Arabidopsis thaliana: one gene and its partners. The protein of the gene in region 2 interacts with the protein of the main gene of each other region in a pairwise test. Each region holds a gene or a part of one and is shown on either strand. Other genes may lie near its edges. The genes, in order: RAB8, PRA1.B2 and ATFP8.

Region 1 (3,757 bases), on a different chromosome or scaffold from region 2:
TAGGAGGGAGGGTAAAAGAAGAGACTCTTTTGCTTTCATCCATATCTGCTTTGTTCCCAACTAGAATCTTGTTGACACTATCAGAAGCATGCTGCTCAATGTTACGGATCCAATTCCTGATGTCTGGAATTGAAGAAAACAAAGGATGAAAAAGAACAAATTAGTTGAGTAGAAAATAATAAAGCTAGCAAATGGAAAAATATAAAGTTTAGAACCGTTGCAAGAGCTTGTTGGGTGGCATAAGGACTGCAAGTAAAAAGTAAAGAGAGTACTTACTGTTGAAAGATGATTCATCAGTCACATCATACACAAGCAAAATCCCCATGGCTCCACGGTAGTACGCTGCAATAAGAACAAACTACTCAGGTGTATTCCAGCGAGGAAGGCAAAGATGCATAAATAACAGCAAAAAGAGAAAACGAAAAGCAAGATCGAAAACACACCAGTTGTGATTGTGCGGAACCGCTCCTGTCCGGCAGTATCCCAGATTTGCAGCTTAATTCTCTTCCCATCGAGCTCAATAGTCCGTATCTTAAAATCAATCCTGTCAAAAACAAAAAGCAACTTGAGTAAGAACAGTGAACTACATAGAGGACGTGATAACACAGTGTCATTGCATGAAGACATCATACCCAATAGTTGTAATGAAACTGGTGGTAAACGAGCCATCTGAGAAACGTAAGAGAAGGCAACTCTTACCAACACCTGGTACATGAAAGAAAGCAAAAGTCAGATAAAACAGAGACATTAGAATAATCCACTGGAACATAGTGAAACACTTACTTACAACAATCAACAAAGGAATATTCAAATCAATTTGGCTAAAGCATTTGCGGCATTAACATCTAGAGAATATAATTAAATAGCTACAGCATTCATTTGTGATTCTCCTCCATCCTAATACCAAACTAAGAAGACTATGAACATCATATGCTCACAATTGTTGAAATGAGATCCAAATCTGAGTAAGATGTGTTACTCAAATCACTGTTGTCTCAAGATCCTTCAAACAAAACTTAAATTGTAATCAACAACAACAAAAATCGAGAGAATCAATCAACAAAAAGATAGAGATTGAATAAAATGCAGGGAACAAAAGGTAGTATTACGATCTGAATGATATAGAAACCTACCGCTGTCTCCGATCAGCAGAAGTTTAATGAGGTAATCGTAATCAGCACGAGCTCTAGCAGGAGGAGCAGCCATTTCTTAACAAAATCAAGTAATTTCCGAGAAACGGATCACTGGTAAGCAAAGAGAGCAAAAACTGGAGACAAAATTTAAATCGAGAATCAATTGTGTAGAACCTAAAAATCGAAAGAAGGAAGTACCAAATCTACTCGGGGAAGATAGATCGTCGGAAGCAAGCAAGACAGTAACCAGACGGCCGTTGAATTTTTTTCTTCCCCCGATTGGCTTTTTTCGGAGATTCAGAAGTTTTTTTTTTTTTTTTGGTTAGAGAGAAGAGGGAGAAGGAGAGGGAATGGATCTGGACCGTTGGATCTTGTTCGTGGAGATCTGTGTTGGTCCGGCGCGTGGTCTTCGGTTACGGTTTGATAAATTTCGAACCATGGGCCTTGGGCTAGTTTTATTTTTGTGTGCTAAATTTATGATTTGGTGTCCACTAAATGTTTAGTTTATTCTTACTGATCCAACCCAACAGGTTACAGAATTGATGAAGTATATTCATACAGTATATGTATTTTTCTATATTTCGTTCTGAGTTGCGTTGCGATTAAGCTCTGGGAAAAAAAAAGTTGTTTCAATCCCTTCACTTGTAAATAAACTCAATTATTTAACTCCAAGGGGACGCAAAGGTTAGGCAAAATAATAATAATAATAATAAGAGTTAGGCAAAAAGAGAGCGATTGACAAATTGAGGAAATTTGAATATATTGTCGTCGGTGTTAAGCAAATAATCATCCAAAGAATAAAGCGTGGATAGGAATCTACAATGATCCTACGTAGCATCTAATGTACTGCATGAGCATTCGTTTACTCAACCCCATCCACCGATCATCCGCTGCGGACAAGTCCACATCTTCACTTCTTCACGACCAATGAGGTAATGCCACGACGAAAGCCTTTCCTAAAATTACACGATCCATTTCCTTTTCTAAATGGATACGAAGAGTGTTTCCATTGACATTAAAGGAAAGCTAACTTTACTTAAAATATCGTCCTTGAGGTAACAAAAAAGTTTAAGCCCCTATACTGTCTTATTTAATGTTTTTTTTTTACTCTTACACTATTTAGTTCTATGTTAATCCAAATTTATCCAATTATTTCCGATATCTAACTATTATCCAAAAAAATTAGGGAATGACACGACACGACGTAAGCCTTTCCTAAATTATACGATCTAGTTTCCTTTTCTAAATGGATACGAAGAGTGATTCCATTGACATTAAAGGAAAAAGTTAAAGCATACATTCTCAGATTTGTTTTGAATGTAGACTGCAATTATTACGTTAATGTGATCGTCTTATTAATGCTTTTAACTCCAATTTACAATGAGATTCATGTTTATCCAATTTTATCCCAATCTCATTAAACTCTTACCATACAAAAAGTCAGAAAGATTATCCAAAACCTTCCGATATGAAAATGGTAATTATTTGAAATGCACGTGTATATTTATCATAAAAATTAATCATAAAACGGTGCTTACGGTGATGGTAATTGGTGACTTGTATCAATCAATGCCAGTAACCGATTATAATACGAGTTCAAATACCAAAAAAAAAAAGAGCTGTAAACAACAAAAATCCATATAATATCTAATACTTTTAAAAGTATAAATCTAATAATTTAAAATAATAATAAGTTAGTAATTTATTTTAAACTCCTAATATCAAAATAGTATAGAAATCCTATACTATCATAGGAATCCTAAAAGTATAAATTATTTTAAATTCTACTAATTTAATAGTTACCAGCTGAAAAAAAAAATAAAAAAAATAAAAAAATAATAGTTACCAAAATTACTATCATAGACAATCCATGCATTTTTGCATGAATCCTAATACTATATAAAATACGATAAACACCCATATTTATCATTTTACACATCTTTTTGTTTGAATTATCCATATACATTATGTATAGAAAGAAAATAAAAACGAATATTCACTTGACAGATTAACATATGCTTTTCTTTTGATTGCAGTTTGTAATCCACCGACAGAGAAATTGCGATGTCATAAATCTGAACACGAATTTTCGGTGCACTCGCCAACACCTGATCTCAACTCTCTCCAGCATATTCCCCAAATTAACAGTAGCTAACGGAGACTTAACGTGGACTCCTCGCAATCCGAGTCACTTTAACGTGTATCAGACAGCCAAACCTTACGTTGACCCCACCGCCGTTAGGAATTCCGTCTATGTCTCTTTTTCCATCATCCAATAAAATCTTGCCACATTGACACTTTCGGGTCCGGACATATTCCAAAATTAAAGAGAATTTAATTTATTGTTTTCCTTCCAGAAAAATATTAATATTCTTTCTAAACTAAAAAATGGAGTCTTCAAATAGCACAGAAGCAGAGACATAGAGCGGGAACGCGTTTAGTCACAGCTTTCTTCTCCTTTAGCTTTTCTCTCTACACTTGCTTCTCTCTCTCTCTCCTTTGGGTTATCCTTCTTGAGATCTGTGCTTGCGTTTCTTCTTCATTCGACGACACTTTATCTCGGGAGATTTCAGATTTGTCGATTTGTTCAGGTACGGATTTCGAAATGTTCTTTCAATCGGATT
Region 2 (3,673 bases):
TAAGTGTTGTTTTTATCTCACATTCTCACCAATAATTAGAATCCAGGAAAAGATTTCACAAGACATTCTTAACATTAAAACCAAAGAAAAAAGATTTCACAAGACACAACTCATTCCACGAAAATATATCTCATGTTATGAAGATTAAAAACAGGTCACCTATATTATATCTAAGAAAGAAGCAACTCAGTGAGACTTTGACCGAAAAAGACAATTCAGGTGACCGAATCTTCAGTTTGTTTTTGGCAGCCGAGTTTTTAAGACAAAATCCCCAAACTAAACGTGTGTCGTTTTTGTCAAATTGGCCAAACATGTAAATCCAGTGGGAAACTTTCCCATGATATAACCCTCTTACTATCAGCAAATTCGTACACAGTATTGGCTGTTCGCTTTCGAGATAGAGGAAACTTGTGGAAGAATAAAATAGTTGGTAGCTAGAGAGACATAGACATAACTAGTTACAAGATTTACATCTACCACGTATGTTGTTAAACTACATGTTGTTTGTTTAATCCTTAATACTTTGGTCAAACTATAATCTTCACTGGTTTAGTCTAAATCTAACTCAAACATATGGTGATGAAGGCAAAGAGTATCAAATTGATTTAAGGTAAATGAGATCTTACAATACTTGAGAAGGATCAGCTCCAAATTTTCTAAATTGTGACGAAATTGAAGAATACAACACAACAATGCATCTTTAGATCTAACACTTACAGATCTTCATCGAATCTATACTCAAAACATAACTAAAAACCCTGAGAATCCAGGTTTCGTTTGTTCTCTAGGATCAGAATCATCAAATTCGAGCTTCTCAAACTCGTCCTGCAACAACAGAAGCAGCAGCAGAAGTAGCAGCAGAATTACCAATGAACGAGAGTAAACCAGCATTAGCAGGCTCTTGTTCATCCAAGAACAAATCATCAGGAACCCTAAACGCACCATGTAAGCAAACAATCGCGATTCCAATCGTTAACGCCGATGTTAACAAAGATCCAACACTCGTCATAAACACAACCACAATCGTAGTCAAAACAAGACCAAGCAAAGTCTCACGATCTGAGAAACTACGACCAAAGAGAACCAAAGGCTGATCTGAAGATCGGAAGAGGTAGAGAAACATCCAGGAGCCTAAGAGAGAGAGGAGGACGAGAAGCGAGAATGGATGCGAGAGGAGGGAGAAAGCAAGGACTAACGAGACAATTGCGGAGTAATTGACTTTGAAGTAAGCGAGATTCTTACGGATCCGGGAGAAGGAATCGGTGAGAGAGTCAGGTCTAGCGAAGGAGCTCCGATCTACGAGTTCTAGCCATGGACGGCGTTGAGAGAGGCTTTCGCGGAGAGAGGACGAGAGGCGTGAGAGGAAAGTACGGAAGGCGTGAGAATTGATTGGAGGTTGAGATTGAGTGGCTGCTTGCTGGTTGGTGACGGGAAGAATCGCCGGAGAAGAAGACATTATTGGTGGTGTCGGTGAGTCTGTGCGCGGCGGAGAGAGTGTGAATTTGTTGTTCCGATTTTAGTGGAAACTGAAGTTGCGGCAAAACCGTGTTAGATATTCTAAAGGCCTAAATTTTATGGGCCTATAATGTTTTGGAATAGGCCCAATATATTAAGTTGGAGTTAATAGCAATTTTTAGATGGGTCTATAATGTTGGAAGAGGCCCAATATATTCCACTATTGGTTCATAAAACCATTTTTTTTTTTTCAACAAACAAACAATCTTACTGGTTCAGTGGTTTGTATCTATATGATGTTACAAGGATAACACAACACAAACTAGTAAATTAGTGTAGTTAATAATATTCTAATTTTATTTGCAGATAAATTACGACTTCCTACAATTGTTTATATGATCATTTCAATAATTATCATCTCATTTCCCACCCTATGAGTGTTCTCGTTGAACAAATGAAACAATCATATGATCAATTGATCATGAATGATAAAGGTTTACTAAATATATCTATAAACTGTGAAATTAAATTATATACAAATTATGTACACTTGAAGCTAAACAAATTATGAATTATATACAAATACAAATTATATACATAAATAAATATGAATTATGAGTTATATATGAATTATGGTGTCTTGAGACACCAGGAACTTGGGGCAAAGACAACTGGAGGGAACTCGAGAGCATTTTTAAAGACGCCTATGCAACCGGTGGTGGAGACTACATGAAGAAGGGGGTGCAAGCGATAAAAGATGAGTTTGACATGATTGGGACAATCAAAATGAGATAATGAAAACAAATGGAGGTTTGCGGAACTTGTTCATGTTGAGATGACCGAGATAAATGAGGTTGACGAGAATAACAAGAAGGTAAAGGTAACATGTAGTTACTTTCTCAAATTCGTGGATGGAAACAATAAGATATTCTCACTCAGCCTAGGCAATGTTGAACTCAAACGTTGCACTATCAATTAGTGAACTCCAAATCTACACTATCAATAATGTGTTCTTGTTTTGCTTCGTCTAGCCAATTTATTTGGCATAAACACTTGGTGTTTTAATTTGGTTTTTCTAAAATTCTACTGTTGCTTTATCTAAAACTCTACTTGAGTTTTGTTTTGTTTGGTGTTTGCGTTTGCTTTTTGGAGTGTTTTCTTTTGAACTTTTGCTCAAGTGATTGATTGCTTTTTGGAGTGTTTATCATCGAGTCGTTAGTTATGTAGCCACTATTAATTAGTCGTTTGAAAAGTAGATGAAAATTAAGACTTGAGGAAATCAAACACAATCCATAATTTGAATTCACCCCGAAGATAATGATCAGCTGCTATTGTAATCGTCAGGCTTCAAGTGTATATAATTTATATTTGTATATAATTCATAATTCGTATTTATTTATTTATGTATAATTATTTGAACACACTCCATAATTCGTATTCGTATTTATGTATATACAAACACACTCCATAATTCGTATTTATTTATGTATCAAACATATAATTAGTAAACTAAATAAAGACGAAGAAACATTATTGAGTAGAATAGAGGCATCGAATAACAATATTCGTCGGCCTAATCAAGAATATTTCTTGGAAATTCGGGTTGAAATCCACATATGGAAGAATCTTGAATAGCACGTACTTTATCAATTTAATTACATCCCTCTTAACGGTCTAGCTACTCTAATTATCATCTAAACCTTTTTCCTTGTACGTTATCTCATAATTTGCAGGACTCTTAATCATTATCACATTTCAAATTTTCAATATTTTACTAAAGAGACGTCTCGTGTTCGTGCGTAGCTCTATATTTTCTGGTTTACGTAAAATAGTTCATGATTTTGTTTAGCTTACCTTTTGAAAAAAATAAGCGAATCTTTCTTCCTTTACTTTTCTTCCACTCATTAAAATGTTCTCTCTATATATAAATGATAAATCTAGTCTTCTAATCATATACTCTCTATACCACACATATCTAGAACAACAACTAGATATTCAATATTAGCTCTAATGGCTTCTTGTGACACACCTGATGCGTTTGCTTGGCTTCAAACTCTTCCTCCTCTTTCTCTATGGAAAGGAAATTTAATGTCCATGTGTATTTGCTCTCCAAATTCATCACACCCATCTTTGAACTTCACTCTTACTCGTACCCCTCAATCTCCAAACTTTTTCACCTTCTCGATAGTAGCCAATTTCAAGACTCCTATTACTCTCT
Region 3 (3,757 bases), on a different chromosome or scaffold from region 2:
TTGATGTATATAATGGTGATCAAGGAATATAGTAATAGAACAAGTTTACTAAACCTAATCTATGTTAAATCTTCGCAGAAAAAATTATGGCGAAAGATTAAAGATAGTGAACATACTTCTTTTTTATCTCGCCAGCAATAGTTAAGAATGCCTGTTCAACGTTAATAGAATCCTTGGCACTGGTCTCAAGAAAGGGAATTCCAAGCTCATCTGCTAAGGCCTGCAGTGATTTTGAGTAGATGAAATGTAAGAAAACCAATTCACAGTTGTATCAGGAGTAACAGCTGCTGCAAAAATAAGCAATTTCTACTCGGTGGATTCAGATCATCTAGCTTTGGGAATTTGGTCAGAGATCATCTACATTCATAGCCGTAAATTCTGGTATAACAATCTCAATGGTTGTAATATCATCACATGGTTAAAGATATGCGAAACCATGAAATGATCAAATGAGGAAAGGGGAAAGTACCATGCAAAGGATGTTATGCATAAGATAGAAGCAAAATCATAAATGGAAAAATTGCTGGGAACTTAACTAGGGATGTGAGCTTACCCTTCCAGTTTCGGTGGAAACAACTTTGCTTTCAACCATATCATTCTTGTTACCGATTAAAAGCTTGCAAACACTCTCATTGGCATATCTATCGATCTCACTCAACCACTGCTTCACATTGTTGAAGCTTTCCATCTCAGTACAGTCATAAACAATCTGTTGCAATTATCATCATTAAGGTTCATCACTTAAAGGGTGGATTACAACATTAAAATGATTCATATTCCAACATTACAATACCAATCTCAGACTAAACCACTTAAAATGAGAAATGGAAATAGGGACATAACACTAGTCTAGGTAAGCCAAAAAAAAGCAAGTAAGAAAGCGAATATAAAGATTGCTCACAATGATTCCATGAGCTCCTCTGTAATAGCTGCTAGTGATGGTCCTGAAACGCTCCTGTCCAGCAGTATCCCACTAAAAGAGAGCAGCAACAGTAAAATTGAGTAAACACAATCATCCAAAACATATTATATAATTGAAAACTCACAATTTGCAGCTTAATCGTCTTCCCATCCTGCTCAATCGTCCTAATTTTCTGCAAAACCAACCACATTATAAGTAAGTTTGGGATAAAACAATCTCGATCATGTATGTAAACAAGGTCAAAGAATGAACTTACGAAGTCAACACCAATGGTGCTTATGTAGCTGTCAATGTAAGCATCATCCTAGAAATAGCAACAAATCCCAAAATCACGAAACAGTACAAAAGAAGAAACCTAACACGAGCTAATTCTCGACGACGGAATCAATTAAGAATCAAAATCAAGTCAAACTCACAGCGAATCGGAGAAGAAGACACGATTTTCCAACAGAGGAGTCACCGATCAACAAAAGCTTGAACAGATAATCGCTACAACAACAAAAAATCGAAATCGGTGTGAGTAAAATCGAAAACGAAAGAATGGCTCTCAAGGAGGAGAGAAACACTTACTACTCGTTGCTCATGATTTAGCTGAAGACTGCGTTTCCGAGATTTGATTTTCCAAGATGAGAACAACTTTCCGGGAAAAAGCTCTTTTTCTCTATAATATAAGAAACAAAAAAAAAGAGAGGTTTGGGTTTAGGGGGCGTGTCAATCAATTTACATGAACATTGAACCCCACGACTTCTACTGGATTTTTTTGTTCCCAGTTTTTTTAATATTTGTTTAATTCCTTGTTGTTTTTCCCGAGACAATAAAGAAGCTTTGACCTTGTCTCACTGATTTCTTTACGTGTGTGTGTCTTCTTATTTGGGCTTTTTGATAAATGGGCCGAGCTCAAAATCTTGTCTATCTAACTTAACCGTCGTTAACGTCCTGGCCCTGTTATTAAAGGTTTGGATTTTATTACTCATGTATATGTCTCAATTTTTATTTTTATTTTTTTAGAGAAGATAATTTTACATAAATTTGATTTATAATCCGTGATCAAGATGTGAGGAATTAAATATAATGAAGTATTTAAAGCGGATTAAAAAGGTATATTGAAAAAGAAAAGAAAAACTTTGATTGAATATGCATGGATTTTCCAATTTTATATGACAGTATATTTTATCAACAAAATCATTCTCTTTTTCATACTCCATTCATATCATTTTTAATTAAGTCATATTAATCCTACCAAAAGTTACCTTCTAATTTTACGTTTCTTCTAATTTCCTTTTCTGGCAAAAAAGAAGATATTTCCTCAATTTATAATATTTTTTTTCCATCAAACTATTTTTTTTTATATAACCAAAAAAAAAAAGTGTAGTAACGCTAACGTGTTTGCAGCTTGCAACTTGGCTAGCAGATTTAAAATAAGATAAGTTCTAAAAATAAACAAAACATATATAGCCAAAAACACAAAATTAAAAACACGAAGATTTGTTTCACACAATACTTGGAATATCCTAATTATAAATAACTAAAAAGATTGAGAAACGAACACAAATCTCCACCTTATACAAGAATCGTAAAAGAGAAAAAAAAAACAGAGAGAGATCTTCAAAAAGATGGCGATCGTTAGCCCTAATTTCTGTGCACCGTACCCTATCGAGTTGGGAATCGTACGGAAGGTGATGACTTTAACCGATGGTAACTTCGCCGTCACGGACGTTAACGGCAATCTCCTTTTCAAAGTCAAGGAACCTTTGTTTAGCATCAGCGACAAAAGGATTTTATTGGACGCATACGATACTCCAATCTTGACTTTGAGAGAAAATGTAAGTATACGTCTATCAACTACAATTCTTTATAACTTGCATGGAGAGGCACAATTTTTTCATGGTGATACAAAAAAAAAATTTCATTATGCAAATCATATATACACAAACATGCTCTTATAACTTGCATGGAGGTACACTTTTTCAATACGTCTATCAACTAATTGTAAATAATATCAAAATCATCATCACTCATTCGAGTATGTTAAATCGTCATAGATCATCCAATAAAATCTGATCCACAACTTTTTTTTCTTATAACATAAAAATTGTAGAAGGTGAGCTTGCATGATAGGTGGCTAGTATATAGAGGGAAGAGTACAGACCAAAGTGATCTATTATACACATTGAAACGATCTTCAATGATTCAAATAATGAAGCCAAAACTAGACATCTTTTTGGCTCATAATAAAGAAATGAAGATTTGCGACTTCCATGTTAAAGGAAGTTGGATCGACCGGTCTTGTGTCGTCTACGCCGGCAAATCTGATGCCATTGTTGCTCAGGTAATTACACTGATCAAATTGTCTGTAAATTGTATAAACCGGACTAGCTAGTTATATGATCGTGTTAATTGAGTCATTGTTGTTGTTTTGTTGTTTTTTTCAGATGCACAAGAAACATACGGCACAAAGCATATTAATTGGGAAGAGTAATTTTTCGGTTACTGTCTATCCGAATGTTGACTTTGCTTTTATAGTTTCTCTCATTGTAATCCTCGATGACATTAACCGAGAAGATTCAGAAGACTAGATTAAGTTATCAACTAATTTCTTTTTGTGCGTTGCAAATCTAAATAATACTCGAAAACATAGTACAGTATATGTTAATTATTACAATATTTTTAGTGATTTATTTCACCAAGGCCTATCAATTTATATCATTATAATAGTGAAACCGTATTTAAGAAAATGTGCGAAAGACAAATCCAAACTTTTTTGTGGAGGTAGACAAACATCTTCAGGTATCAAAAGTCTCAAAACTTAGTTTTACCATCTCTGAAGTTTCAGCC

The links.
Region 1: the proteins of PRA1.B2 (region 2) and RAB8 interact in a two-hybrid assay, tested with the Arabidopsis thaliana proteins (one large-scale study listed by BioGRID).
Region 3: the proteins of PRA1.B2 (region 2) and ATFP8 interact in a two-hybrid assay, tested with the Arabidopsis thaliana proteins (one large-scale study listed by BioGRID).

The regions. Positions count from the first base shown.
Region 1 is NC_003074.8:19,877,059-19,880,815, forward strand, and holds the start of RAB8 (RAB GTPase homolog 8), read right to left. Parts: upstream 1,735-3,757; 5' UTR 1,637-1,734; coding exon of another isoform or gene 1,484-1,636; 5' UTR 1,332-1,483; exon of another isoform or gene 1,209-1,331; 5' UTR 1,207-1,208; coding exon 1,134-1,206; intron 706-1,133; coding exon 633-705; intron 545-632; coding exon 444-544; intron 343-443; coding exon 277-342; intron 124-276; coding exon 26-123; intron 1-25. Other genes in the region: AT3G53611 (uncharacterized protein), read left to right, coding at 1,484-1,636. UniProt on the Arabidopsis thaliana protein: Involved in membrane trafficking from the Golgi to the plasma membrane.
Region 2 is NC_003071.7:16,863,920-16,867,592, forward strand, and holds PRA1.B2 (prenylated RAB acceptor 1.B2), read right to left. Parts: upstream 1,669-3,673; 5' UTR 1,457-1,668; coding exon 815-1,456; 3' UTR 527-814; downstream 1-526. Other genes in the region: AT2G40390 (neuronal PAS domain protein), read left to right, coding at 3,466-3,673. UniProt on the Arabidopsis thaliana protein: May be involved in both secretory and endocytic intracellular trafficking in the endosomal/prevacuolar compartments.
Region 3 is NC_003074.8:3,709,892-3,713,648, forward strand, and holds the start of ATFP8 (Ras-related small GTP-binding family protein), read right to left. Parts: upstream 1,727-3,757; 5' UTR 1,507-1,726; coding exon 1,493-1,506; intron 1,412-1,492; coding exon 1,339-1,411; intron 1,227-1,338; coding exon 1,179-1,226; intron 1,095-1,178; coding exon 1,047-1,094; intron 974-1,046; coding exon 902-973; intron 710-901; coding exon 554-709; intron 221-553; coding exon 117-220; intron 1-116. Other genes in the region: AT3G11740 (LURP-one-like protein (DUF567)), read left to right, coding at 2,536-2,745, 3,021-3,251, 3,355-3,498. UniProt on the Arabidopsis thaliana protein: Protein transport. Regulator of membrane traffic from the Golgi apparatus towards the endoplasmic reticulum (ER).